4 linked regions of the Struthio camelus genome follow. Each later gene encodes a partner of the first gene's protein in a complex. Links are inferred from orthologs where the notes say so. Each region holds a gene or a part of one and is shown on either strand. Other genes may lie near its edges. The genes, in order: TAF4, TAF13, TAF3 and TADA2B.

What was found.
Region 2: TAF4 (region 1) and TAF13 share a complex: the UniProt entries of both Homo sapiens proteins name them as parts of the TFIID basal transcription factor complex. The link is inferred for Struthio camelus from reciprocal best matches to the Homo sapiens genes TAF4 and TAF13.
Region 3: TAF4 (region 1) and TAF3 share a complex: the UniProt entries of both Homo sapiens proteins name them as parts of the TFIID basal transcription factor complex. The link is inferred for Struthio camelus from reciprocal best matches to the Homo sapiens genes TAF4 and TAF3.
Region 4: TAF4 (region 1) and TADA2B share a complex: the UniProt entries of both Homo sapiens proteins name them as parts of the TFTC-HAT complex. The link is inferred for Struthio camelus from reciprocal best matches to the Homo sapiens genes TAF4 and TADA2B.

Annotation. Positions count from the first base shown.
Region 1 is NC_090959.1:15,331,242-15,338,312, forward strand, and holds the start of TAF4 (transcription initiation factor TFIID subunit 4), read right to left. Parts: upstream 3,013-7,071; 5' UTR 2,945-3,012; coding exon 2,629-2,944; intron 662-2,628; coding exon 1-661. UniProt on the Homo sapiens protein: The TFIID basal transcription factor complex plays a major role in the initiation of RNA polymerase II (Pol II)-dependent transcription.
Region 2 is NC_090942.1:96,845,896-96,852,960, reverse strand, and holds the start of TAF13 (transcription initiation factor TFIID subunit 13), read left to right. Parts: upstream 1-4,055; 5' UTR 4,056-4,184; coding exon 4,185-4,211; intron 4,212-4,456; coding exon 4,457-4,535; intron 4,536-5,084; coding exon 5,085-5,182; intron 5,183-6,219; coding exon 6,220-6,390; 3' UTR 6,391-7,065. Other genes in the region: GTPBP8 (GTP-binding protein 8), read left to right, coding at 429-513. UniProt on the Homo sapiens protein: The TFIID basal transcription factor complex plays a major role in the initiation of RNA polymerase II (Pol II)-dependent transcription.
Region 3 is NC_090942.1:5,344,311-5,351,175, reverse strand, and holds the start of TAF3 (transcription initiation factor TFIID subunit 3), read right to left. Parts: upstream 3,013-6,865; 5' UTR 2,896-3,012; coding exon 2,730-2,895; intron 1-2,729. UniProt on the Homo sapiens protein: The TFIID basal transcription factor complex plays a major role in the initiation of RNA polymerase II (Pol II)-dependent transcription.
Region 4 is NC_090945.1:74,308,820-74,315,855, reverse strand, and holds the start of TADA2B (transcriptional adapter 2-beta), read right to left. Parts: upstream 3,009-7,036; 5' UTR 2,979-3,008; coding exon 2,709-2,978; intron 1,702-2,708; coding exon 709-1,701; 3' UTR 1-708. Other genes in the region: CFAP184 (cilia- and flagella-associated protein 184), read left to right, coding at 3,373-3,462, 3,574-4,485, 4,740-5,285. UniProt on the Homo sapiens protein: Coactivates PAX5-dependent transcription together with either SMARCA4 or GCN5L2.

The sequences.
Region 1 (7,071 bases):
CCCACAGTGGCTGTAGCAACAGCAGGAAAACTCCCCACACTGATGGTTGAATTGATCACAGTATTGCTCCCATTTTGAGTGGCTGCACCAGCTGCAGCTACTGTGGGTCCTGCTGTGTGAATTGGTGGCCTCACAAGCGTTACCGTAGGCCCCCCACTTCCAATGCTCGGTGGTGGCTGCGAGGAAATAACTGTGGGTGAGGAAGAAGATGCAGACGACACAGCAGTATTAAGGAAAGAAGTCTGGATGACAGTGTTGGAAGCTGATGGCAAAACAGCATTAACAGTATTTCCTTTTCCGACAGATCCAGGTCCATTGTTAACTAGAGGGGCAACAGCAGGTGCAGAAGCAGGGTTAGCAGTCACAGGAGTCCCGGAGAAAGCAGCACTTCCTGTGTGGTGAGAGTTCATCACCACATTACTCCCATTCAAAGTTTGCACTGTTGTGGTCCCAATCTTGCCATTCCTGGTGGACAAGGCAGTTGCCATCGTGCTGATAACCACCGATTTGCCCTGACTGAGGGTCCCTGGAGCAGCAGTAACTTCAGATCCTCCTGCTGCTGCAGTGGTGGTGCTGGTGCTCGTTGTGGTGCCTCCATCCAGAGTTGAGCTCTGGGACCTGGTGTTATGATTAATAACGCCTCCTTGCACTCCTCCTGCTCCTGCAACAACAACAACAAGGTTAAAAAGACAGAACGAGCAGGAGAAATCCAACGAAGACAGAATGTTCTCCCTCACCACCAAGTCTTCTTCATCTCCCAAACTGCCTGCCAAGAAAATGGAACAGAGTATAAACTGAAGAAGGATTTAAAGACGTTATCTTGAAGCCTCCAGTTTCCCACTAGAGACTGGTGGATTCAATATTAATTGCAACACTCCCACCTTCATCACCACAGTAAGATAAAACAGGGAAAACAGATTTGCTATGAAGTGAAGGAAGGAAGGAGGAAGGAGATCTTCTCTTTAGACCTCTTCCCCATTCTAGAGCCTGATATTATGTTTAGCAGCATGCCTGCACCAACAAGAGGAAAAAAAATAGCATTGGAAGACACATTAATAAGGCACATTCCCTATGCCCAGCAAGTTACGCCCTAATCCTCTCATCTGCTACAACGTTAAGTCAGTTAGAGCAGGAAGCTCAACAACAGCAAGATGCAAAAAAAGTGAAGGAAAAGAAAAACACCAGCCGGCCAAGATAAGGAGTAGTATAAGGTCTGGAGCAGGTTATAAGAAGACCTCTCCACCTTATTACAAAATTTATTCTTCTGGCTCTGAAGTTCCCACAGCCAGAGATGGTTAAAAATAAATAAATAAAAAGCAAGGCTGATTTTGAGAAAGGATAAGGTGATGTAGCTTCTTGTCCTGAATAATCCTCACGCCCCTTGATGAGGCCTGGTGTTATCACTAGTACAATCACAGACAGCCTGGGTCCTGGCCCTAAGGAGACAGAAATGGGGAAAGAATAGTGACAGACAGATACTGAGATGCATCTCATAAGGGTTAAGGAGATCCTCCTAGAAGAGCTTCATTAATCATGACAGAAGGTCTGTAATATCTTCTTACACTTCAGCAAGAAGAAAGAAAGAAAGCAAAAAGGGGGGGAGGGGAGGAATTGCAGAGAGATTCTGGGGAGACATTTTTTTTTTTTATTCCCCTGAAAAAAAGCTTCCCTCCATTCTCATGGAGGGAACCCTTAAGGCTGTGATTAATACCATCCCCCTACAGCCTTCACAACATGAAGGGAGGGAACAGTCACAGGTAGATGCTGGGGGGCGGGGGGGTGGGGGAAGACATTGTACAAGGTGGGGTGTTATGGCCTGAATTCCCCCCCCTTCCTGGGACCTAATGTTGTGACAACACCCCCTTGAGGGCAGAGGGGGAATGAGAGGTGTTGAATGCCCCCTCCAAGCCCCAGGAACAAGGGAGGGGGTGGGGGAGGCATATCCAGGCAGACAGATATGGGGGGGGGAAGCATTTTGAGGGACTTCCTCCCCTTGAAATCCCCCCTCGCTTCCTCCTATACAGGAAATAGGTGTCATGATTAATAACACCCCCTTGCACTTCAGCAACAGCGAAGGGGGAGGGGAAGGAGCATTTACACAGACAGCTAAGCAGGCGTTATTAAGAGGGAATCCCCCCCCATAACCTCCACCCCTGGAAAAGGAAGGGGATCAGTCACAGATGGCATGTGAGGGACAGGCAGCACCGAGGGGGTGGGCTCTGCCTCCCTCAACCCCAAGATTAATAGAGCCTTTTACACTCCAGCAACAAGGGCAGAAAAAGAAGAGGGGGACCGACAGAGTCACAGGCAGGCACTGACGGGTTATGATGTAGGGATACTGCCCCCACACATGATAAAACATCCTCTAGTAAGCAGGAGCGAGGAGGGAAAATAAAGGGGAGGGAGCACAGGCACGGATACACACCGAGGGGGCATGATGAGGGGAGGCTCTCCCCCGTATGATCGATACCACCCTTTGCACTCCGGCTCCTGCCACAACAAGACGGAGGAGAGAGGGGAAAAAGGGGGGGAAAAAAAGCAGTGAGGGAAGGAGGCAGCCGGAGCCGGGCAGTGGGGGGAGGGGAGGCCCCCTCTCCCCTCCGAGCCCCCCACCCCTGCCCATGTTACCTGCTTTTGTGATCTCTGGGGCACTGAGTCCCATCTTGCTGCTGCTGCTGCTCTCTGTTTGGACATTAGCATTGCCTCCTACTACTACTCCTCCAGGGCTAGGGCTAGGGCTGCTGCTGCTACTGCTGCTGCTCACAACATGGTTCCCCAGCAGCCCCCCAGCGGCCCTCAGGGGCTCCTGCGCCTTGTGGTGCTGGTGGTGGTGGCCGGAGGCCGCCAGCTGGGACTCCAGGGAGCCCACCAGGTCGCTCACCACCTTCTCATCCACCTCCGTGTTCAGGAAAACCTCATCCAGCAGATCCGAGCCCGCCGCCATCTTTTTTTTGGAGGGTTCCTGTGAGCTGCTCCCTCCTCCCCCCCCTCCCCTTTCACTCCTCCCTCCCTCCCCCCACCCCCCCCCACACACTCGGCCCCCCTTACTGCGCAGGCGCAGCCGCCTCGCCTCACATCACCGGCCGGAGAGGGATTCCGCTCGCCGCTGATTGGCCGCCGGCCGGGTATAAAAGGCAGGGCAAATGGCTGCGAGCTCTTAGTTGGGAGTCGGGCGGCAGCGGCCCGGCCGCGACGCGGTGGCGGGGCGCGGCGGCTGTGGCGGGCGGGGGCGGGCGGTGCGGCCGGCCGGCCGAGGCGCGACGGGGCGAGGCGCGACGCGGAGGGGGGCGGGGGGAGGAGAGGCGGGAAGGAGGGGGGCGGCGGCCGCGCCTCTTTGTCTGCCTCGGCCCAAAATGGCTGCATGTCTGCCCGCTGCTCCCTGCGCCCGGGTCTCCCTCGCCGGCGCCGCACACCTGTGCCAGCTGCGTGTAACTGATCCGCCGGGCGGGCGGGAGGGGAGGGGAGGGGGGGCGGCGGCGGCGGCCCCCGCGCCTCGCTGCGCCGCAGGCGGAGCCGCAGCGCTGCCGGCCCGGGCCGCCCCCGCCGCCGCCGGGTGCCGGCGGCAGGTAGCCGGGGCGCGGGGCGGGAGCCGCGGCTCGCAGCGGGGGCCCGGCGCCCCTCCCCGCCCCCCCGGCCCGAGCAGCCTGACTCAGCACGGCGGGCCGGGCCGGGCCGCGGAGGGGTTGGCGGCCAGCCCCGACGGAGCGCAAGCCCGGGAGGGGAGCTCGGCTTTCGGCGCCGGGGACAAACAAAAAATGAAAGAGGGAGGTTACTATTTTAAATAGTCCACTCCCCGCTCGGAGCCCGACAGCGTCAGGCGGGGGGCTGCTGCGCTGGGGCCATCCCGGCGCGCCCGCGCGCGTTAACGCCCCCGCTGCCGCTTAACCCTTCGGGGAAAGCCGAGGCGTTACAGCTGCGCAAGAGCCAAGAGCAGCTGAAGGGGAACCGCGGCGGCGGGGCGCGCTGGGCGCGGGCTGCAGGTACGCGGGACTTCGTGAGCGCCGCTCTTACAGTAGGAAACTGCACTTTGACCTCGTTGTGCAACCATCCTAAAGGAAGTAAATACACTTGAAGTAAAAATGCAACCCGCCTTTTAATATTTTCTTTTGCTAGGCGCTGTTTCTCAAGGCTACCGAACGGCTGGAACAATACTGACGGACAAATCGTGGCAGGTCGTTTTTAAAGAGGAATCAGGTTTAGCATGATAACGCTTCTTATTGCAGTATGATGAGTTTTGCTCTGATGTACTGGGAATGGGTGCAATTAAAGACTGGAGTTGTGTTGCAGTGGGATCAGACTCGGCACCTGCTAATGCGTTCCTTAATAATGTCTAGAATTTACTGTCCTGATAGCTGACTTAAGACTGCAAAGATGGAGACTGGTAAGAATAAGAGCTGCAAGTTTTCTGTGAGACTGGATTGCTTGAAATAGGTCAGAGACAAAGTATTCTTTACTTAGGTTTGCCTAAAGTTGGGCGTCAGTGCTTCTTATATTTACAGATTTGTGGTGATCACTTGCACTGCTGTAACGTGAAGTAAATCATGTTATTAGCTGTAAATCATGTCCACTAGCTGTCCTAAATGATGGGGAAAAATACTGAAATGCTGTCCCATATCTTACCCTGCCCCCAAATCTGTGAATGTTCCCACATGAGAGAAACTCTTTGCAAAAAGCTCAAAGAAAAAACAAAATCAGATAGGTATTTTGTTCTTAATGTATGGGCCTCAAATAGTAGTGTAATAACTTGAAAGTTTTAGAAAACTGCTTATACTGAGGGATTTGCAGTTCTAGTTACTTGTGTCCTCTTCTCACCTGCAGTAGCCTTCTGCAGGGTGAGTTGGAATTACAACAGCTAGCCCTTCCTGAGGCTCTAATCGCTTCAAAAGGACACATCGCTAGGAGGGACGGCCTAGCTCCTCTGAGAAGTTATAAAATTAATCTTTGTTAAATTATTCTTGTTCTCAAGCCTTCTATACTTCTCAAAGCTTTTCTCGGTCATCGCTCAAAATTCAAGGGAGAGAAGCAAAGAAAATGCCCTTTTCCTCTCTATAACTTTTAACTTCCACTTCATCCATTCTGACCAAATTATAATGCTTAAAGTAGCTGCAATTTTACTGATGTTGTAGGTCGTGTGGCCCATTTCTTACAATGCAAGAATGCTTTGTCAAGCACAGTGGTGCCTGTGAATTTGTCGCTGCTACAGTCAAGCACATTGCTAGTTTTTGGCCACGATTAAATTCTATAAGCTACATACCAAAGAGCTATCTAGAATAGAAGTCTGTTCAGATCCCCAAAACAGAGAGTTAGTCTACAGCTGCTCAAATCGGTTATTGAGGTAAACAGCTAGAATTCAGCGGAAACAGCCCAAGGGTGACAGAGTCACTGCAAGTCTTTCTTTCACAGCATCTCAACAGGAGTATAGTGCAAAGTTGGGCTGCAGTGCCAGGAAAAGTGATGAAAAAAGAGAGATGGTGACATCAGAGATGGATTAAATTATCAAAGGGCAGTAGCAGCTAACATAAAGGATCAGAGCAGGCTATATTCTTCTCCTGCTAGTTTTCTAGGACAACTGGAATGTAGTTTACAGTTGCATACCAAAGTAGAAAAAAAAGTCTAGAAATCTTTATGTCCTTGTTCTGACACTCTCTCTAGTATACCATATGGCAATATCTACCACATCAGGTAAGCAACCTTACAAAATTACAAGAACAACCGAGATGCATTACCACTTGCACATTGTAAGTGTGCAGGATACATTACTAAATACTTTATCTTTTCACACTTATCTGTCTCTTGTTTACCATTGGAAGTAATTTTCTATATGTGATTCCTCAGGGTTGGGATTCTTTCTCACAGAATGGCCGAGGTTGGAAGGGACCTCTGGAAATCATCTAGTCCAACCCCCCTGCTCGAGCAGGGTCCTCTAGAACATATTTCCCAGGATCGCGTCCAGGTGGGTTTTGAATATCTCCAGCGAAGGAGACTCCACCACCTCTCTGGGCAACCTGCTCCAGTGCTCTGTCACCCTCACAGGAAAAAAGTTTTTCCTCAGGTCCAGATGGAACTTCCTGTGTTGCAGTTTGTGCCTGTTGCCTCTTGCCCTGTCACTTGGCACCATGGAGAAGAGACTGGCCTCATCCTCTCGACAACCCCCCCCTTCAGATCCTTGTACACATTGATCAGGTCACCTCTGTCTTCTCTTCTCCAGGCTGAACAGGCCCAGCTCTCGCAGCCTTTCTTCACAGGAGAGATGCTCCAGTCCCCTCATCATCCTGGTAGCCCTTCGCTGGACTCTCTCCAGTAGTGCCATGTGTGTCTTGTACCGGGGAGTCCAGAATTGGACACAGTGCTCCAGGTGAGGCCTCACCAGGGCTGAGGAGAGGGGCAGGATCACCTCCCTCGGCCTGCTGGCAACACTCTGCCTAAGGCACCCCAGGAGACCATTGGCCTTCTTGGCCACAAGGGCACATTGCTGCCTCACGGTTAACTTGTTGCCCACCAGGACTCCCAGGTCCTTCTCAGCAGAGCTGCTTTCCAGCAGGTCAACCCCCAGCCTGTACTGGTGCATGGGATTATTCCTGCCTAGGTGCAGGACCCTGCACTTGCCTATGTTGAACTTCATGAGGTTCCTCTCCGCCCAGCTCTCCAGCCTGTCCGGGTCCCTCTGAATGGCAGCACAGCCTTCTGCTGTGTCAGCCACTCCCCCCGGTTTAGTATCATCAGCAAACTAGCTGAGGGTGCACTCTGTCCCTTCCTCCAGGTCATTGATGAATAAGTTGAACAAGACCGGGCCCAGGACTGACCCCTGGGGGACACAGCTAGCTACAGGCCTCCAACTAGACTGTGCCATTCACCACAACCCTCTGAGCTCTGCCATTCAGCTAGTTCTCAGTCCACCTCACTATGCACTCATCTAGCCCACACTTCCTGAGCTTACCTAGGAGGATGTGATGGGAGACAGTGTCAAAAGCCTTGCTGAAGTCCAGGGAGACAACATCCACTGCTCTCCCCTCATCTACCCAGCATGTCCTCTGTATTCTACAGCACGCCTATTTCTGTTTTAAATGCTAT
Region 2 (7,065 bases), on another chromosome or scaffold:
TGAAATGGGTCCATCTGTCCCAGAGGCGATACTTTTCTGTGCCCCAAGGATGGAGGGTGGGCTGCTTGTGGTAACTGCCCTTTCCTTCTTCCACATCCTCTGCAAGTGAGTGGAGTTCAGTTTTCAAGGCTGCTTCTTCCTTTGGCCTTTGGGCTGAGAGGGGCAGCCGTACCTATGCTGTGTGACAGCGGGCTTTGTCAGGCACCTGCTTACGTGCTTGTGGTCGTTTCGTACAGTAGCGTAGTTTGGAGTTATGTGACAGTAGCAACCCTTAAGTGTTTGCTTACGTAGCTGAAGTTTTTGCTTTATCAAAGTTGTACTGCACTATGGGGGATGTAATGTAATGTACCCAGTGGCTGAGTTTGGTTATATTAGTCCAAGATGCAGCAGTGATCAGGCACTGAATGTACACACCTTTGTTTCCATAGTTCTCTGGAGTTTTCAGGTGTTCACTTGCTAAGGTGTTTCATAGCCCATGTTACTGGAAACCTGCCTGTTGCAGAGACCAACTAAAAAGACTGGTTCCTGATCTGCTTGGCACATCCAGAACAAAAGGTACCAAATCTGGCTTTTTTTTTTTTTTTTAATAACCTGAAATACTGGAACTTATATTTTGGATAAATTTGTCTAAGGTTTTGGTTAAATTAATATTTGTAAGGATAAGCTTTTTGTTTAATAAACTCATTCAGGAAATTTGCGCTGCAATGGAATGCACTTTATTATCAAATGGTTTTATAAAACCTATGTGATTGTGCCAAGAAGGGAAAAACAAAGAGAACCTACTCTACAGAGGAGCTAGGTTTTAATACAGCATTTCCTCTCTCTCTCTCCAGCTAACTGTTCAGAAAGCTACTACTGCATGCCTAAATTCTGCTGTATTTAGGATATTAGAGACAGTCTAGTAATCTGATTAATAAAAAGGCATTTAGTTTAGAAAAGAAAAGTTATAGCTCTTAATATTAAACAAGCCACGCTTGCCAACTTGAATTGAATGACATTGAGAAGTTCACCAGTCTCAACTTATTTCACTACCTGCTGTAAGACTGTCTGGAGTAGAAATGGCCAGCACTTAATTTGTGAAGGTGTTTTTAGGAGAGATCTGGCTGGGAAGCTGCATTGTGTAACTCCTCTGCCTCATGCATTCAACAGGTGCAGTGTGATAGCGTGCCTTACTTGTATACACCAAGTTGTCCCTGTTCTAGGTGGATGAACGAAAGGACACATCTTTAATGGGATCTACCTTTCGATTACTGTTGGCTTGGAACAGAGTGAGATAAATGAATGACACCTAGGGGAGCTGTCTCCTCCTGCACTTTATCATCGGTCAGTGCTGCATTTACCTTCCAGCATGAAGTTCTGCAGCTGTACTCTGAACTGCCAGAGATGAGACATGTTGTTTGTTTTATGCATCTGTTCTACACTGGGAGCTGAAGCACAATAGTGAGGCCCCGTATTCTTTGCAAGCACTGTAACAGCTGGCAAAACTTTGTCCCACAACAGCTGTATCCAGCTAACAGCACCCAGCACCCATCCTGGGGAGACCGAAGCTGGGTAGTTACAATATCAGAAAGAGTCAGAAAAGGGGACTGTCTTAATAGCAGTAATCATACACGAAAATTTAGATCAAAGCTATTAAGTGCTGATGTCAAACTCTGACACTGTCTTGTTGAGTATTAGGATTGCCAAAGGTATGTATACGGTTGTCAGCGTTACTTACATCAAGTGTTTAAACCTCATGAAAGAGTAATTCTTCCATAAACCACTCGAGAGTTAGAAGGTGGTATTTCTAGTGTTTTGCTTTATTATGGAATTTCTTTTAACTCACAGATTAGACGTGAGATAGGGCTTATTTCCCCATATGTGTAGGAAGCGGCAGTGTGTGATGAATGCAATAGAAAGAGGTGGATCTCTGGTTTGCACACCTAAGCAGAGATCACACCTGTAATTCTCAATATTTCACCTCCAATCCTAAAGTGCTCCAGAGCAAACCAGCCCATGTGATGCTTCCACGGGGGGAAGTGCAGCAGTATAAGGATAGATGGAATAGGTGCAGGTCAACGTTTCAGGCATAATCTTTTGTTTAAAAAAAATAAAACCAGCATCTTTCAAAAGCATCAATCTAGTCTGTAATTCTAAAGGCCTCAGCTCTAATTGAAGAGCCTGTGCTGCAAACTGCCAGCCAGTATCCTTTCTCAAACTGTAACTGCTTTGTTAATGAGATTAGATTGCAGGAAGAGTGCATCTGAACTGGGAGGATAGCAGTACGTTTAAAAAAAAAAATCTTTTAACAAGAAGTGGCTATCCTATGTGATAGATACTAAGCAACAATGTGTGTGCTGTGTTAAACAGAAGTTCATGACCTCAAGGTTGTTCATGGCGTCTCGAACAGGCTCAGCAGCTCCTTCACTGTGGGGCCTTGGACTGTTGGGCCCACTTCTACAGTCATACAGGAGGTTGTACGATGAGGTAGTGCAGGATTTCAACTCAGTCTTTCAAGAGGCCCCCTTCCTACCACAAACACAGTAATTAAAAACAACAACAACAACAATAAAACTACCTAAAGCTTCTGTGGGAGAAGTTCATCCATCTTCCAAACTTCTTTCAATGGTTTTAGAGCAGTTCTGTTCTCTACTACCTTTGTATTCATCTTCAAGAAATGGGATTTCATTAAAATCAGTTCAGCAACTTATCTCTGGCCCCTTTGTCTCTCCTTTCTCTGACATCGTTAGCCTAGTTTGGGCTAACAGCATAAGACCTATCTTATTAAAAAAGAAAAAAAGCATTGTTTGTTTAGATGTCTACAGAAGTCAAGGATTACTACAAAGACAGTGAAAGAGGACATAGGGTTCACGTTCTGCTTGTTCTCTGGCTGAGGGGAGGTCATGCTGAGCTGTGCTTGGCACCTGGACAAGGAAGGACTGCCACAGCCAGGACTTCTAGATGCCGCTGCTGCGTTCTTCACGAAACGCTCAATTACAGCAGGCCTTGAGCGGTGCACACAGGAGTTGCCAGAACACGCCACGCTGATTTGAGGCCTGCTTCTGATGAGAGAGTCAACTCCATCCTCTGGGTTAAATTTAACTTAAAAGTTGTGGCTGTGGGTAACTGCCACGCTTGTGGGAATTAGCTTCGGTTGCAGAGCTGTTTTGTGATACTCGGCCAATTGTGCTTCGATCTATGAAGTCTTGAGAGTTGTGAAAAGGAGAGACTTAACTGAAAAGACTGAACATCCATTCCTGTGCTTCCCTCGTTCTAGGGCTCGTGACATGCATGTTTTCCTTTTGGGTTTGTATCCTCGCTGTCAAGAGCGGTGAGACCATCTGATTGCTTCTCTTGAAAGCCGCCAGCAGTTTCACTCTCCAGCTCTTTGCTTTTAGCATACTTCAGCTCCTCATCATATACTACTTTTGCTCCAGCTCTAGCTCCTTGGTGAGCTTGCTGATAGAGCTTGCCCAGAGTTAATTTTTCTCATGGTTTATCTTATGTTTGCAGCTGTGTAATACTGATTACGCTCAGCGTGTTGCATTCGGGTAGCTTCCTCCTTCAGAGCGCCAACTTCCAGTCCTGCATAGACATCAACGGAAAGAGGGGTACACGTCTTAACTCCCGCGCTGAGACACATCTGCTCACTACGGTCAGCCTGCTACTCCTGCCGCTTTAGCTCCTCGGTCTTACTTTATAAAGGGCAATGCAAGTTATGCCTACGAGCCCCCGGAGTCCTTGCCCCTCCGCTGACCGTTGCGGACACTGGCAGGAGTCCGGGGAGCGTTCAGAGCGCAGCAGCTCCCCGTGCAGACGTGCACGCGGGAACCTGGCGGGAGCCCGGCAAGTCGCGGCTGCGACGCTGCAGGGGGCCCGGCTGCGCTGCTCTGCCCGCCCGGCCCTTCAGAGGCCCCCCACGGGGGACGCCCCGAAGCCGGAGAAAGCCGGCGGCTTGCGGACACGGTAATCGCCAGCCGGAGGACCTACTGGGGCCGCTGCCTGACACCGCCAAGCGTCTGCCCGCGCCGTCAGGCGTACGAGCAGCGAGGCGCCGCCGCCTTTCAGTGCCCCCTTGCGGCGCGTGACCCTCCCCGGGCTCCGTTCGGGGCGGCGCCCGCGCCGTACGCCAAGATGGCGGCCCCCAGGCGCGGCCCGGGCGGCGGAAGCTCGGCCGGCCCGAGCGGAAGCGGCGCGCGGCAGCCATGGCCGACGAGGAGGAGGACGCGCCGGTGAGCCGCGGGCGCCGGGGCCGCGGGCGGGCCAGCGGCGGCGGCGTGCCCGGCTTTTGTGCGGGGCCTTCGGCCGCCTCTGCTCAGTGCGGGCGCCGCCCGGGGCTCCCGCAGAGCCGGTGACATGGCTGCTGCGGCCCGGTGCTGCCGGGCTGGCCTGCGCCCCCGCCGGCGGCGCTGCGGCCCGGCCCCGCTCTGACTGCGCCCTCTCCCCCCCCCCCCCCCCCCAATGTGCCTTTCCGCAGTTTGAGGAAGACGCCGAGGAGGCGGGCGGAGGCCTGGACGGGGGGCAAGGCAGGAGGAAGAGGCTCTTCTCCAAAGAACGTGAGTGCAAGCCAGAGCCGCTAGCCTGCGCCCGGCGGCGGCTGGCACCGGTCGCTCGCTGCAGCGCCAGCCGTGGCTTTTACGAACGGCATACCTCTTGCAGAGATGTCGGCAAGTCTTAGGGAGCTGTAGAGTTTTGAAACTCGTTGTCTTCATTAACAAAACAACGGCTTTCATTCCCTACCCGTGCTCAAAGCGGAGAAAGCCGTCATATACGACAGAACGTTGCTGCTAATGCGTCATCTGAGCCTATCAACGGCAAAAGCCATACAGCGATGCAATGCCCCGTAGTTGATAGCCTAAATGCATTTTAAAGAGCCTGTCATCAGATGCATTTGTCTGCGTATGTGCTACGCTCTTGCTGGGTTCTGTCTGTTTTATTTCCCATAAGCTCCCCAAAGAATTGTCCTGGCCAGCAGTCAGGAATGCCGTCCTGCTGCATGAACTTGTAGACTAGTAAGCCTAAAGCACTAGAGGCATGCTGCTGGCTGTGCTGAATGACCAGAAAAAAAATAAGAGGAGGATCATGCTGAGTATTTCTTTCTGCAGTAAGATGCATGATGTATGGATTTGGGGATGACCAGAACCCTTACACAGAATCAGTGGATATTCTCGAGGATCTGGTAATAGAGTTCATCACAGAAATGGTAAGTCAAATTTAGATGTCACGATCAAAAAAACAGCTCTTGCTAGTATTTCAGATGCACCGATTATTACACCACGATTGGACAGAGGATAGGATGTTCCTAGCAGAACATATCTCAACGAAAAGGGATGAATTTGTTTTCTAAAGGTGTTAAATCAGATTCGAAGATCCTCATTAAGATTTTAATTTTCTGTAGGCTAATACTTCTAACCCAACTGGATTAGCCCAGGCCAACAACTCTGATGCTAGTAGGAAGAATCCCACGTTAGCCTTTGCGCTTCGAAGATTCAGTGGAAACTAATGCATTTTGCTCCATGTGGATTTGGAACAGGGCCTTCATCTGTAAGGGGCAGTTAGACTGATATTTTACAGGCACAGCTGACTTTGTAGCCCACTGTGGCATCACTGCGTATACAGCTGACAGAAGATGAGGGTCAACTTTGAAAGTTGATCTACTTTTGTGTTTGCTCAGTTTTTTTACAAGGATGGGAAAGCAATTCTGTCCCACAAAACGAATACAAGGTTCTGCTGCCTTAAGCAATCACTGATCCTGCTGTTTGGATGCTGTTTGAGGGTTTTTTGTTTTTTGTTTTTTTACTCAAGTCTTTCCTGCTGTTTGAAAATCCTGTTTCTCTTGAAAGGTTGGCCTTGCCTTCACTTATGAAAATGCCTAAACTGTCCTCAGATTTGGTGTTGTCTTTTGCATGCAAATTCGCCTTGATGCTGTTCTTTCTCAAGCGCTCTGCAGGTTTGGTCTCCCCTATGTGTAGCATGGCTTTAGTTTTGATGTCATTAAGATCCTGTATGTATAACGGCACATACCAGGTGTAGGTGTCAAGGAGCTGGGAATAGTAGACTGACAAAAAGTTCACAGGAGTGCACTCGGGAGTGTGTCTGTGAGTAGGATGATGGTGCCCAGATCCTGAAATTGCTTACCTTTGGCTTATAAAGTGACAAGGAATAAAATGGAATTGAGAGTTGAAAAAAATAAGTCAGGGTCAAAGGCACACTGGTAACTTTTGCTTCTTCCTCTGACAGACGCACAAGGCCATGTCAATTGGGCGGCAGGGTCGTGTACAGGTTGAGGACATTGTCTTTCTAATCCGCAAGGACCCCCGGAAGTTTGCCAGAGTTAAGGACCTCCTGACTATGAATGAAGAACTGAAGCGGGCCAGAAAGGCCTTTGATGAGGCAAACTATGGATCTTGATCTTCTGTGCACGCGGCACAGCTTGGGCACCTTCTTCCCAAAAGCAAGGAATTAGTATGTATTTGTTGGAGGTTTTTTTTCCAGGATGGAGATCAGTGCTGGGATGTCTGCCTTGGCTCTCGGCCTTTACAAAGAAGTATCGAAGCCTTCTAATTTTATCTGACTGTATGTGGTATACTTAGGTATTTTTATACCATTTTATAAAACTCAAGAAGTGTGAAAGTGAGCTCTAAAGGTTCTTGTAATGGTGACAAGTGTGTTTGAAGTAGGACTGTGTTCTATCAGGTATCTAGAGGGTTAATGAGAACTGATTCTTTCCAACTGTTTCAGTCATTATTAGATGCTCCCTTCGCAGGAGACCTAGAAAATGGATCTCGGAGAACTGGACAAACTGTGCCTTCGAGCACAAACCATTAGAATTTCTGTTCTCTTCCCTGTCCCTGCTCCCTATATGCTCTTTGAGTAAAACATCTTAAGCTCATGCCAGGCCTCGTAACTAAAATTCACTGACGAATTCACACAAGTTGCATAATGTGGATTTCTTAGCACTAACGATTAAGTATTCTTAGTCTGGTAGGAAGCTCATTTTTTCCTTCTGCCTCAGTGGACACAGCTCTCTTGTTCTCATTTCTCCCTAGGAAATGGGGATCACCTATCCCAAATTTACTTGCCCTT
Region 3 (6,865 bases), on another chromosome or scaffold:
TTTTCCATTCACCGGGGGGGGGCAAAACTTCCCTTCTCCACTATCTCTAAGCACCCTCAAAGCAAGAGAGGGATATTTTATTTCTACCAGCTTTCAGTAAGCACTTCCAATTCCTTAAGCACTGAGAGGAAAAAAAAAAAAACTGTATTTCCACCGTCTATGCATCTTTTCCTCCTAGCCGTGGCAGAGGCAGCCAAGCTTGGGCTCAGATAAACAGGCAGTGACAGACTCAGACTAGATCTTGATTATTCCTGGATTCAACAAGCTGAGGCAGAGCCAGGTATCAGGTATGTTCAGATCATCACCATGCTTTACTGGGGCTCACTGCAGCAATGAAAACTTCTGCCTCAGAGAACAGACACGACAACAAGCAGCACTGCCAGGCCAAGGCTGCTCCTCTCTTGACTATGCTTATCACGCTGAGCGTTCCCTCCTGGCACACGGTCCTTCGTCCCACACACCCTCCAAATTCACTCCTGCCGAGGAAGCCAACACCTCCACCCTTCAAAGCTCCTCTGATCTCGAAGCTGCAGCTACCACCTGGAGCTGCAGTGTGTCCTCAGTATCCCCCTCATCCACATGAGCCCTGATTAGCACAGAGCCCACATCCACACAACTGGGGTGGAAGTGGTAGCAAAGTTCTCAGTTGTTCAGAGCTGCCATCCCTGTTACTTCTCCCACAAGCACTGGTGGTGGCTTGTCATAGCCACAAATCCTTTCCTAGGAAGTCACCCTCTCCATATCCAGCTCTTCAGGCAAGCACCACATCATCCACCCTAACCCCCAACCCTCTACTCTTCTAAATGTCTTCCATGCTGACATCCAACAGCATAGCAACTCTGACCTCTGTTTCGGGGCTATCCCGGACTTCTCTCTCTATAAATATATACATGCACGCAGAGCAGTGACAGCCCACAGCCCCGCAGCATGCTGAAGGAAGTGGTAACAAGAAACCTGCCCCCCTCAGTCTCTCCACATTCCCTTCAGCAACCCAAACTCAGAGCACGCTGCAGGCCAAGCAGATGCAGTCTCTAACACGGCCTCATCACACGGTTCCAGACCCCAGAGAGTCGTCCCCAGGCCCCAAGCACTTCAGAAGCAGACAAGAGCAGCACGGCAGTCCAATCTCCGTGCCCAAGTCTCCCCAAATTCCCTGCTCTCCTTGAGCAGGTGGTGGTCAAGCGACCCTCCTCCCTCCTGAGGCTTTCCTCCTTTCCTCTTTATGCAGGCAGCAGTTGGTTCCCCAAATCCCTCCAACCCTCCACATACACTGCCTGCTTTGCAAGAGGAGTGTACTCCCGATCCCAATCCTGTTAGGGCTCCTTGAAATATCTTCCACACTGACGCAGTTGGCAACAGCACTCCTGATCCTAGGCTCCAGGACTCCCTGCTTCCCTGGTCCCGTTTAAGATCTCAAGAGGCGCAAGCAGCCCTGGTTCCCATGTGCACACACAGCCTATCTCCACTCCTACAGGGCACCCTCGCTCCCCCAGCCTCTCCACTATGCACCGCACTCCATCTCCCCTGCAGTATTTATGGAGTGTTACAACAGTCCAAATCCTGCTCAACAGCCGCCACAGCACCACCTCATCCACCACTCCACCAGCACTGATACCCACATCTCCGTTTCCCCTACCCCCTCCCCCTCTCAGATTCAGAAGGGGCACAGAAATTTGCTTTGTCCAACCCCCAGGCGCACGTCTCCAACGTACCTCATACCACGCGCACTAAAAAGATCTCCAGCTCTGTCCGTTTTCTTTCCCACCTACAAACCCCCATACCTCAGACACTTCAGCCCCATCACTCGCCCTGTGCACATCCCACGGTGTGGGCATTACAGCTCCATCCCCCACCAAGACACACAAGCACACCCCCGACCTCACACACCGCACTCCCCCACTCCCCCCATACACACCATCACTTCCCACTGCACACCCCTCCCCCACAGCTTAATATATGGGGCCCCGTGGTCCTTTAATATGGGCTCCACGCCGCGCACGGCAGCTCCAACCCTTCACTGCTTACGCTCCCCGCCAGCGCGCTCACTGCGGCCCCACCACGGGGTTAACACCCCCCAACCCCCTGGCCCTTCACACAGCCCAAACCTGGCGTAAATGGCAGCCCCAGGCCCCAAAGTGGCCGTGGGGACTGCAGCCCCCCGACTTCCCCCAGTGCGCACCTGCTGACGCTGAGATGGCCTGGGACAGCAGCCTCCCACCCGGGACCGGTCCCCTGTGTCCCCTCTCCGCACACCCACCCCAGCACACTACAGCCCCAGCAACGGGACCAACAGGCCCGTCCTCTCCTCCTGTACACCCCCCCAACACACACCCTGCACACTACAGCCAAAGAAGTGGGGCAGCAGCCCCATCTCCCCCCCCATCCCCACCCCAGACCCGCTCCCAACTGCCCCGCTTCCCCCTATGTGCACATACAGCACCCCACTCCTAGTGCCTCACCCCCGCTGTTTCCCCCTTGCCCCACAGCGGACACTCACTGCCCTCTCACGCCTGCACCCCAGACCCGCTGCCCCGTGACTTCACCGCACCCCACACCCCCGGCCCACCGCTCCCGTGGGGGCGCCACCTCGGACCCACGGCTCCCTTCCCGCTCCTCTCGGCCCCCGCCACTGCCCCACAGCCCCCCACGCTCCTTCTCCGTGCCCTCTCCTCTCCGCCCCCGACCCCCGGCCCCCTCAGCCCAGCCCAGCCCGCCGCCCCGGCACTCACAGAGCTCGCAGTAGCGGTGGCAGCCCCGGCCCAGCCCCTGCAGGTACCGCTGCAGCACGTCGGTGAGGAGGTCGCAGGCCGAGACCTGCACCGAATCCCAACCCAAGGCCTGGCAAATCTGCGCCACCGATACCCGCAGCAACCAACGCGAGTAGGTCTCGCACATGCCGGCCGGCTGGGCGCCGCCAGGGCCGAGGCGAAGCTCACGCACAACCCGCCGCCGCCGCCGCCACAGCCGCCGCCGCCGCCATCTTGGCGTCGCGCCTCCCCGCCGCCAGGCCGCGCGGCTGCAGCGCCGAGCGCATCGAGCGCCCTCGACCGCTCGGCCATCCTCCCTCCCCTCCTTGCTCTGAGGAGGTGGTGAGAGCGGGGGGAGGAGGCGGTTGGGGCCTCAGCGCCGTGTGGCCGGAGCGCGTCGTCCCAAAACCACCTCAAAAATCGCGTAGAAAGCGGGAAATTCTGGTCCGCCCAGCCGAGGCGAAGCCTTTTCGGATGGGTTTGGGCTGCGCGGAGGAGGAGGAGGGCGGTCGCGGCCGTGTCAGCCAGCGCGGCGGGCCCTAAAGCTGCGCGCCGCTTGTCGGTTGTAAAAGACGTTTGTCGCCTCACGCCGCCTCGGGCTGAGGGGACCCGCCGGCAGCGGGTGCTTGCTGCAGGGGCCTTGCCGCCGAAGCTGACCGTCTGGAATGACACCTTCCCTTCTGCTTTTTTTATAGGTGATTTTAAAGGAATGGGGGAGAACCCCCCGACCACCGGGGCGCAGGAAGGGAGCCTCGTCGAGATGCTTTAAACCGAAACGGACTTGAGCGCCCCGAAGGCCTGTAGGGAGGCTTGACAAGACTGGGGTGGGGGGAAGCGGGAGATGATCCAAAAGAGCCACGTTAAGGCCGGTGATGTGTAATGAAGCAGCCAAGGGAGAGCAGGATGCTGTGTGAGCCCCCGCAAAAAGTGTGCGGGGGGGAAAAAGCACGTAACCTCGCTCTGGCGTGGGGGTTGTTGCCCTTAAGATAAGCAAGTGCTTGAATTTATTTGGAACTAGGTGGAGGAACCAGAACTTGTCTCAGAAATGTGTGCAAAATGAACAATATGTACCGAGAAGGATCCCAGGACTCAGAAGAGGAATTTCTGGGATCTTTTGGGGAGTAAAACCTTGCCAAGGCCACCTGTACGTAGGCAGCCACGGAAGCCATGTGTAAGGCCAAGGTTGCCTGGGTAACTCTATTAGAAATAAACACCAAATTTGGGTGTGGATAGAGCAAAGCTGGGACCCACAGGGATGAAGGATTTACAAGCAGGTTGTTTCTTCAGGAAGAGGCTGGGCAGGGAAGGGATGGTACAATACTGGCAAAAAGGAGGGTCCAGAAATGAAAAAAAGACAGTTAAGGTATAAAAATCCGTCTAATAACGGTCTAAATGAAGAAGTTTAAATGGGTATGGAAAAGGGTGATAGTATTGCACCCCCATGGGGGTGCAGGAGGTAGTATAAAGGGCAACAGAACTGTTAAAACTGTTGTGTGTAATTAATAGCACTTAATAATAAATTGTAACTCAATAATTGTGTGTAACTAATGACAGTATGAAAGACAACTGTAAATACTAGTTCTGTTAATTAGTTCACTAATTAGTTCACTGAAAGGTGAATGATCTTTGCTTGCTCTCTTCAGTCTGTCAAGCCGCTTTGGGGAGTTCCTGAACAGGCAGCACGTTTGCCATCTTAGAAACGTATTTTCTGAGTGTTCAGAAAAGCTGCAAATACACAGACCTCCTTTTGTAAACTTCAGAAGTATTCTTAGGGGAATTACCATGGACTGATGCTACCAAATATTCGCAGTAACATGACTTGTGTTTCCTGGGCTCTTCCTGGAACATGGGCTGACTGCAATGAAAGGAAAAGCACAGGATTTATTAGGCACGGTGGTTCCTGATTCATGAGCTGCCCCACTTGAGCAGTTCAGACCGCTCCATATAGCATATCACACTAACTGGATGAGCTCAACGGTGACAAAAGATTGCTTGTACTGTAACAAGCTGAGAAAAAGAGCCTATCTCCATGGTTCCTGCTGTTTAGTTTGAAGGACCTGGGCTTCCAAGTTCAATTCCCCAAACCATTACCGAGTTGCACGGCTCCTAGCAGCAATTGTTCTGTAATGAAATCCATAAAAACCTCTGCAATGGAACATGACACTGGAAACATCATTCAGTCCAGAGAAGTAACCAAAAAAAAATGTGTATATGAATGCTAAGATGATCACGTCTGAGTGACAGAAAGTTGAGAGCAAGTAAGAATGCTATAAAAGCCTCCAGGGGAACCAAGCATTCACTGCAGGGATTTGAAAGTTCTTCCCTGCGTGGACATACTACTCCTTAGGTACCTAAGAAAGTATTTAATGCACCATGCCAGAATAGAAATTTTGACATTGGGCTGCTGTTTCATCTTTTCACTGTGATTCCAAAATCCAGAGATCTTAGCACCAAAGTATCTGAATTCCTCTAAAATCACATGCCCACTTTCTCCAATAAAAAGGAGAAACAGCTTAATCCTTGCTCTACACACATATTAACCTTTACCTATTAAGTATTTCACAGCAAGGAATGGATTCAGAGAGCAGTTAGGATTCCGGGAAGATGCTCGGCTAAAGCACAAGGCAAAGCGTGGTATCCAGGGACAAGGCCAAGTCTTGCTGCAGAGCGGCCCGAGCAGAAACCCAGCCTCCTAGGCAAGGGGAACTCACAAAAGGAGACGGCAGGCTGTGAGTATGTCTCAGGGCCCCAGCTGGGAACCTTGACCTCGCTCAGACTAAGCACCCAGGCTGAGTCTTGAAAGAGGGAGAAGGGAAGACAGGTTTGAGGGTTATGGAAAGTATTTCCTTGCGTAGCTGACGGGAATTAAAGGATGTGACGTATGGGGGAGGAGGAGTGGAACAATCAGATGGGCTGGGAAAGGCAAAGGGGCTGTTTTACTTCTTCAGGGTGCCCGATGGACCCAGCTGACTGGGCAGAACTGCTGCGTCAGCCGCTGTGCACCAAGCGGCAGTCTCCACCTTGTTTCAAACCAGAACAGCCCCCGTAATGCTCAGCTTTACACAAGCATGTCATCCCTTCCTCCCTTACTTAAAGGGAACAGCTGGGATGCAAGAAACTGATAGTCACCTATCGGATTCACTGTATCAGTAGCACACTGCATTCTTCACTGCGAGCAGACTGGGCAGAAGGCAGGCATGGGTTCTTGCACAGAAACAGGAGGGCATGCAAGGTAGTGACAGCAGGCTGGGTAGCCACAGAAACGCCATCTGGACAAAAATCTGGGGCAATACAATGCTGCTGGAAAGCCTTGGCCTTACACAGATACACACCTTGATGATGTTGTGCATATGCCATCAGGTCACACACATGGTAGGAACTGCATTCCCCTCCACTCCCTGGAAATCACTTAGAGAGGTGATGGCTTTCCAGTCAGGAATGTAATTTCATATAACAGAGAACGGAAACATTTACCAGGGAAAAGTAGAATGTAAATCATCCGGATTACCGCAAAGGTTCACAGTGTCAAAGCAGTTTTTTCCCCACAGCTTAGATAGATTATTCCTAAAGAATTACAGGATCAAGGCCTTAAGCTGAGAATTGCATAAATCAAGGAACTCCTCCATTAGGATAACGGCCACCTCTGTATCCAGTGGCTAGTTTGTGTTTCCACATTTTAGAGCTTCCCAAATTCACCCATTCCAAGCAGTCACCAACTTCGGTTGTGTGACTAACCCTAGCATTAGAACCTTAGTTCCTTAAAAGTTAATAGTTCTTAAAAGTAGTCATTAAAAGATTCTTCAAAGTATGTAACAAATCCTCTCCAAGGATTCAACCTCACATAAAGACAGCACATTGAAAGCTGTAGGATAGCAACAGTACATCACTTTATGAAGTTAACACGGTGCCTTTGAGAAAGCATATTAGCTCAAGTTCAGCACTTGATTATATGCTTTCTAGACTAGCTGACTTATGTCCATCTCAACCCAACAGCAGCTCGAGCAAGCAAGTGGTTGTTCACGCTTGTCCCTCAGGTCATACTCGGAAGGTTGCTTTGATATTCAACACAATTTACACTTTCTTCATCTCTCTTCTACAAACCCCCTGCCCACTTCCTC
Region 4 (7,036 bases), on another chromosome or scaffold:
CCAAAACAGAGCACCACAGTTGCTTTGAGCTTCTGCAGCTTGCTACTAATTTAGTTAACACTGAAGCTTCCAGTGAGGGCCTGTATCAGGAAAAAAAAAAAAAAATCAAGTCAAATCTACCTCAGGATCAGTGGGGTGTGAAGGTAGAGAAGCTTTCCACAGCATCAGTACCTGAAGGCATCTTCTCTCTCACATTTGTTGGTTTCTATTCCCTGTCATGGCTCATCCCTGCAGCAACCTCTACAGAAACTCTCATACTGTTCTGCCAACGCCTTGGCTGTAGTTATTAAGGAAAGTGTTCTGAAAGCTTAGTAATGTTCACAAAAATCCCTGTTTAATATTGCTCAAGAGCTCAGGATTTTTGTGAGCCTCACTTTGCTGCCAGCGTTATGTCAAAAACAAAACGAAAGGAGATTAAAGTTTCGCTTGCTAGAAACTGTCTCCCGCCTTCAAAAAAGCAAGGATTACACTGATATTCGTTTGTCCAACAGGAGTAGAGTAACTACTCTGTGCCTACTGGACTTGAATAAGTTTACATGAGGAAGAGATCTGTTCTAATAATGTACCAAAACCAATGAAATGCACGAATAAGTATTTTTCAGTATTTGCCATGATCCAAAGCAAGAATCCATGTGAACCATGGGCCATGAATACTGTCCTTGAGGCCATAATGCACCTTGGATGTGTTTTTTTCAGATCAGCTGAATTTCATGAAGCATCCCTGGATATCCAACCACTTTCTGTTAGAAAGTTTAAAATTCTTTTCTTCAATACCTTATCTAAGTAACTGGGAAGGCGACTCTTTGAAGGGATTCCTTGTCTTTTTTGGAGATGGTCTTTAATGATTATAGTTTTCACAGTCACGTAACGTGCAGGACTCAAATTTAGAGAGCTGCAGAGCACCTTTTCTCTGTCCGATAACAGTTCAAACCCAGGCAGGTTTTCGATGGCAGCAAATTCACCTTCTTTACCATCTTCCTTCCCTCTCTTGGAGCCAGCTATGTTTTTGTTCTCCTTTCTCTTTTCCCGTTTATGTCTCGCTGCCTCATACTCTGCTGACTCTTCCATTTTGGTGATTCCATTTCGACGATACCGCTGCAGTTCCCGAATCTTTGCTCGGAGCATTCTCTCTTTGTGCATGTTCTCAAAGAAGTCTTCAAACTCCTTACAAGACATAAACTGATACAGAGGCCTCAGTTTCAGCCTCAGCTCCTTCTCTTCTTTTGTGATCTTTCGTTTGGGAGCTTTCTCCTTGTCCTTTTTATCCTTCCCCAGGAAGGCAGGTACCAGGTTATAATCACGGGCAATGTTCTTCCGCCGTTGCCTCTCCTTCAGTTTTCTTACGTACATATCTACGTGAGCTCTTTTCAACTCTATTTCCACATCATCATCATCATAGTTCACTGAAAGGCCACTGATCAGAGTTTCAGCATCTTGATCATATTCAATCTCATAGTCATCCCGAAGCGGCATATACCCCAACTGTTGCTGTTCTGCCACTGATATATCCAATGGTGGGAGCGGCGTGGTCAAGCTAGGAGAAAGCGGGCCACCACTTGGACACGTGTGATCTGTTACTCTGTTCGGAATAGTGTCAGGGATGCAGGCTTTGCCAAGATTGCCATGGATGTACATGCTCACGTAGTGCTCCATCACCTCCTGAGGCGTTCGGGAGGCTCCCACGTGAGCAGCCATGTCCTCCTAAATGGAAAACAAGGAGGAGTGACAGAATGGTTGCTGTTACATCTCCAGGGTAGGGTGCATTCAGTTAAGAGTACGACTTCTTCCCCGCCCCTCAAAAGCCAACACACAATACCTTAACTTTCCTAGTAATATTGGCATTTGCCACACACCCATCCGATCTGGATTTTCAGGTGTAGATAAATATTTACAAGCGGCACTTAGGCCATGAAACGGGCATAGCAACATCAATAAAGTAAGCTGTATCAGATCTCCAATTTCACAGGAACACCACTGAGATGCTAAATCCACATGGCAAGCCCCGAGTCTTTACTGGTCGCAAGTTAGCTTACTACCAGGAGGAAGTCCACAAAGTCGTACTTTTCAACAGACAAATCCCAAGTCAGTACTGATACTACCACGTCATTGGTGTTTTCCTCGTTTACAGTGTTGCCAAAGTACTTTAAGCAATATAGAAATAAGATCGTTTCCAGCTCTCTTCTGGGTGTTGTTTAGAAGAAAAAGTTACAGCCGTCACAAACACAAAGATCTTCACACGGAAGAGATTCCTTACATTTACCGAAACGAAAGGAAACAAAGCAACAAGTAGCGACTCAAACGATGACACTTCTTACAAGAGAGAAGCGCCTCCTTCGACAAGGAGAGCTCGAGCTGCTTCACTGTGCTTTTCACTCCTTCTGAACAGCCCTGGTCGTGCGCTAGCACAGAGGACAAACAGGGGCCTTACCGCTGCGACACGCCGGGGCAAGGAGCTGCACACTGGGAAGAAGAGGGGACAAAACGAGCTCCGCAACGCCAGCGGGACGGAGGGGAAGACGGCGCTCGGATTTAAGGCAGCTGCCACTCCGGCGAGCTGCGTCTGGGCGGGCCGCTCTCCGGGGGGCACCGACGCGCCAGCGCTCCGGGGCCGCGGCAGCCGGCGCCGCCGCGGTCCGCCGGGCCCCCCAGGCCGGGGGAGGGCGCCGAGCCCCGCCGCCCCCTCCCCTGCCGCCCCCGCCGCCCCTTACCCAGTTGCCGAAGCCGAACTGCTCGATGGCGTCCAGCAGCAGCTGCTCCTCGCGGCTGCTCCAGCCGCCCTCGGCCTCGGCGCCCCACAGGGTGAAGCGGCCGCCGTCGACGAGCTGGTAGCCGTGCCATCGGCGGTGCGGCCCGATCTCGGCGCCCGCCGAGAAGCAGTCGGGGCAGAGCTCGATGTCGGCGCACTCCGTGCAGCGGAAGCGCAGCGAGCTCACCTCGGCCAGGCAGTACACGCAGTACTTCTTCCCCAGTTCCGCCATCTTACCCCGCCCGCCGCGCCGCCGCGCGCACGCGCCGCCACGCCCCCGCGCCGCCATCGCCAATGGCAGCGCGCCCGGCGGGCGGCGCCGCGCGCCCGGCGGCCAATACAGCTGACGGGCTCGGCCCGCCCCTCGGCCCCCTGCCCAATGGGACCCGCGCTGCTGGGCGCAGGGGGGGTTAACAGGGCTAAGCGGCTGGGATTGGCCAAGCGGAACCCGGCTTCCTTTCTCGCAGCCAATCGGAAAAGCGAACCCGAGCGACCCCGTCGCTGAGTGGCGGCCTAAGGGGAGGGGGCGTGACAGAACGGCTCCCGGGGCGGGGCGGGGCCTCCTGCTGGCAGGCGGAGCCGAATCTTGTTGCCCGAGCAACGGGGGAAGCGGGTAAACAGCCGGCATGGAGGAGCCGGCGGGAATGGAGGAGCCGGGGCTGGCGGGGCCCGAGGGGCCGGGGCAGCCGGCGGGGTCCGAGGGGCCGGGGGAGCCGGCGGGGCCCGAGGGGCCAGGGCCGGGGGAGCCGGCGGGGTCCGAGGGGCCGGGGCCCGAGGGGCCGGGGGAGCCGGCGGGGCCCGAGGGGCCGGGGCCGAAGGACCCGCAGCCGGAGGAGCTGGGGCCGGCGGGACCGGAGGACGCGGGGCCTGAGCAGCTGCAGCCGGAGGTGCCGGCCGAGCTGGGGCGCTCGGAGCCGGCGGGACTGGAGGAGCCGGGGCCGAAGGACCCGCAGGGGCCGGGCGAGCCGGGGCGCTCGGAGCCGGCGGGACCGGCGGAGCCGGGGCCCTCGGAGCCGCGGGTGTCGGGCGAGCCGGGGCCTGAGCAGCCGCAGCCGCAGGTGCCGGCGGAGCCGGGGCCCTCGGAGCCGGAGGTGCCGGCGGAGCCGCGGCCGGCGGCGGGCGGCGAGGAGAAGGAGGAGGATGAGGGAGGAGAGCGGGAGCGCCCCGTGGGCGGCCGAGGGGCCGAGGGGGGGGCGGCCGAGGCGGAGCGGCGGGGCAGCGAGGGGGAGCCGCTGGCGGGGGCGGAGCGCGGCTCCGAGGAGGAGGAGGAGGAGGCGGAGGAGGAGGAGGAGGAAGACCCGCAGGTGCGGGCGGCGCTGCTGGAGGAGCAGCGGGAGCTGGCGAGCGAGCGGGAGCGGCTGCGGCAGGCCAGCTGCCGCCTGCAGCTGCGGCTGGGCCAGCTGCTGCGGCTGCGGAAGGGCGAGGAGCCGCGGCGGGAGGCGGCGGCGGCGGGGGGCGGCGGCGAGCAGCGCTACGCCGAGCAGCTGCGGGCGCTGCAGGCGCTGCGCGAGCGGCGGGAGGAGGCGGCGGCCGGCTGCCGGCAGCGGGAGGCGGCGCAGCGGCGCGGCTGCGGGCGGCGGCGGGCGCGGGCCGAGGCGGCGTGGGCCGCCTTCCAGGCGCGCAAGAAGGAGGCGGCCGTGTGCGCCCTGGGCCGGCGGCTGGGCGGCCGGGCGGCGGCGGCGGCGGCGGTGGAGCGCATCCAGGCGGCGGAGCGGCTCAAAGAAGAAGAAGTGAGCGAGGTGAGGCCCTGGCCGGCTGCCTGACTCTTGGCGAAAGGATTTGCCTTTTGCTCGTCTTACAGATAGGGGGCTTGCCTTCCGGGACAACAAAGGCTAATATCTACCACTTCATGTTAAAGAACAGCAGCAGATGCTAGATATTTTTCTCCCTTTGAAGTTTTTTTTTTTTAATTGCTGTTACCTACTTTGCAATGTTCTTCTTTGGCAAGACAAGGGATTAAAATAAATCTTTTTTTTTTTTCCTGTTCATCCAGGCCCGTGTGGAAAACATCAAGCTGAAGCATGAAATCCAAAAGCTTGAATTGGTCTTGAAAGCCCAGGGAGAAAGGACAGACGGAGTATGTTTTATAGACTTTGAGCAGCTGAAGAAAGAGAATCAGAAATACAGTGAAAGGATTGACGACCTCAGTGATGAACTGCAGAAGCTCCAAAAGAAGATCTCTGATACGGTGCAAATTCTCAGCCAGTTCAAGGAAAAACTACAGTTTGTGGAAGCTGAGAATCAAGGGAGAAAGGCTGAACTGATGGACATTGAGGCCATCTTGTCACAGAAGAGAGACCTTCTGACCAGAACAAAGCAGGCCAGAGACAGGTTGCGGATAGACAATTTGAAATTGCAGCAGAAATGTGGGCTGCTTGGAAACGAGACGTTGCTTCGGGACTTTGAGGAAAAGGTGGATACCGTAAAGTTGTTAAGCCAGCGATTAGAAATCCTGAAATGTCACCATGCTGATCTGATCCTTACATGCAAGGGAATTCAGAAAAAGATCAAGGAAGCTAGGTCCTTTTTACCTTGCTGAGGCCGACTGAGGAAAAGAAAGCAGGAAAAAGATATAAACCAAGGAGTTTTCTGTAATTTTTTAAGTCCAGGGGAATGCATCACATGTACGCCTAGAAAGTCTTTCCTAAATTCCATATTAGCGCTATGCATTCAGTAGAGAGATTACAGTGGAGCTACTTATTTTGAATGAAACTACATAAAAACTTGCTAAACTCATTAAAAAAAAAAACCTCACACGCATTCAAAAGCTTAGACTGCTAAAAATACATCTCAGCATTCAGTCCTTTAAGGCCATGGCAATGTTCTTTAAGCAGAGCACTAAGCAAACATATTCTACTTCAAATCTTGATTCTGGGAGCCTCCATCTGGCTTTTAGAATTCAGGATCAACTCTTTATCTGTAAAATAAACATACATGCCTTCTAGGCACGTCGTAAGGGTTAATTCCCATAGATGTGACTGAGACCTAAAGAGAAGTTTATTACTGAAACTTGACATGGTTTACATACAGCCACTACACTAAAGCACTAAATTACTTACTCATTCTTTAAATATAACTGCCTGCAAAATTTGTTGGTGCACAAAAGGAAGATTTATTACTTTAAGAATTCCTATTCTTCAGGATCTGCGGTTCAGATGCATACAGACATATTATCATTCAAAACTAGTTTTTTGTTTTTTTTTTTCTTCTGTCTTTCAACTTCTGCAATGTTAGGGGGTTGTTGGCCTTGCCCTCGTTCCCGGTGTGTGAAGATGCACAGAGTGGTGTAAGCCCTTTCAGCACTACCCAAGTGTAGTGTATCACAATTCCAGGAAAAAAAAGACTGAGGAAGAGGGGAGGGAGAGGCAGAACTTAACACCTTTATGACTCCGCAGCCCACAGAACTTTGGTTCCTGTGCACAGCTTCCCTTTCAAAATAACATAAATGTTCTTCAACTATTAATTCCCATGTGGCTTGTGGCAATCAATGACTACGGCACTGTTCTGCATCCTGCAGCACTTGATACCTCAGTTGTAGTATTAATTTCGTAAAAAGCATCAGATGACATCCAGAATATGGAAATATCTTAGAAAAGCCAGCAAAGTACTGGAGCTCTGATTTAGTATGTTCTCTACTGAGGGGAACTCAACCTTAGTGGGCTCCTTACAGGCCATCACTAGCTGATGCGCTCAATTATTGAATAAATCCTACCTAGAAAAGCACAGAAATCAATTAACCAACAAAAATACCACTACTTTCTTAGGTAGACTGTGATGCTTTAGTGTCATTTTTGGTAGTCTGAGTTAAGTACTGAGGACCATATTCAAGTGTTCAAAGGCAGCAAGCAGCCTATGTACACAGGTCCCACTGGCAAAGAGCAGGAATTTAAATCTTTTGGTTTTCTGTGACAGGTTCGAATCCCATCCTGAGGGATGTAGTACTGTCAAGCTGGGTTTGAGTTGTTGGTTCTAGTTGCATATATATTAAAAAGGAGGACACAAATTACAGAGGGCATTTACATGGGGATACAAGCATAGATAAACTTTATATAAAGCTATTTCCTTACATTGTTCTTTTTAAATGACCTCTGAACTAGCTTTTCTGAATTGCCTGGCTCTTTAAAGGACATAAATAATTAAAGTAAGTATTATGCTGTTGAAGGCTTAAATCTTGTTCTTTTATCATGGTGGAATGGCAGTCTGAAGAGATCAATCATTTTTTATTCTTTATTCCAGTCATGTAGTAGCAATTGAATATATTCTTTTAAGATCTTTACAGTTTTGCAGAAT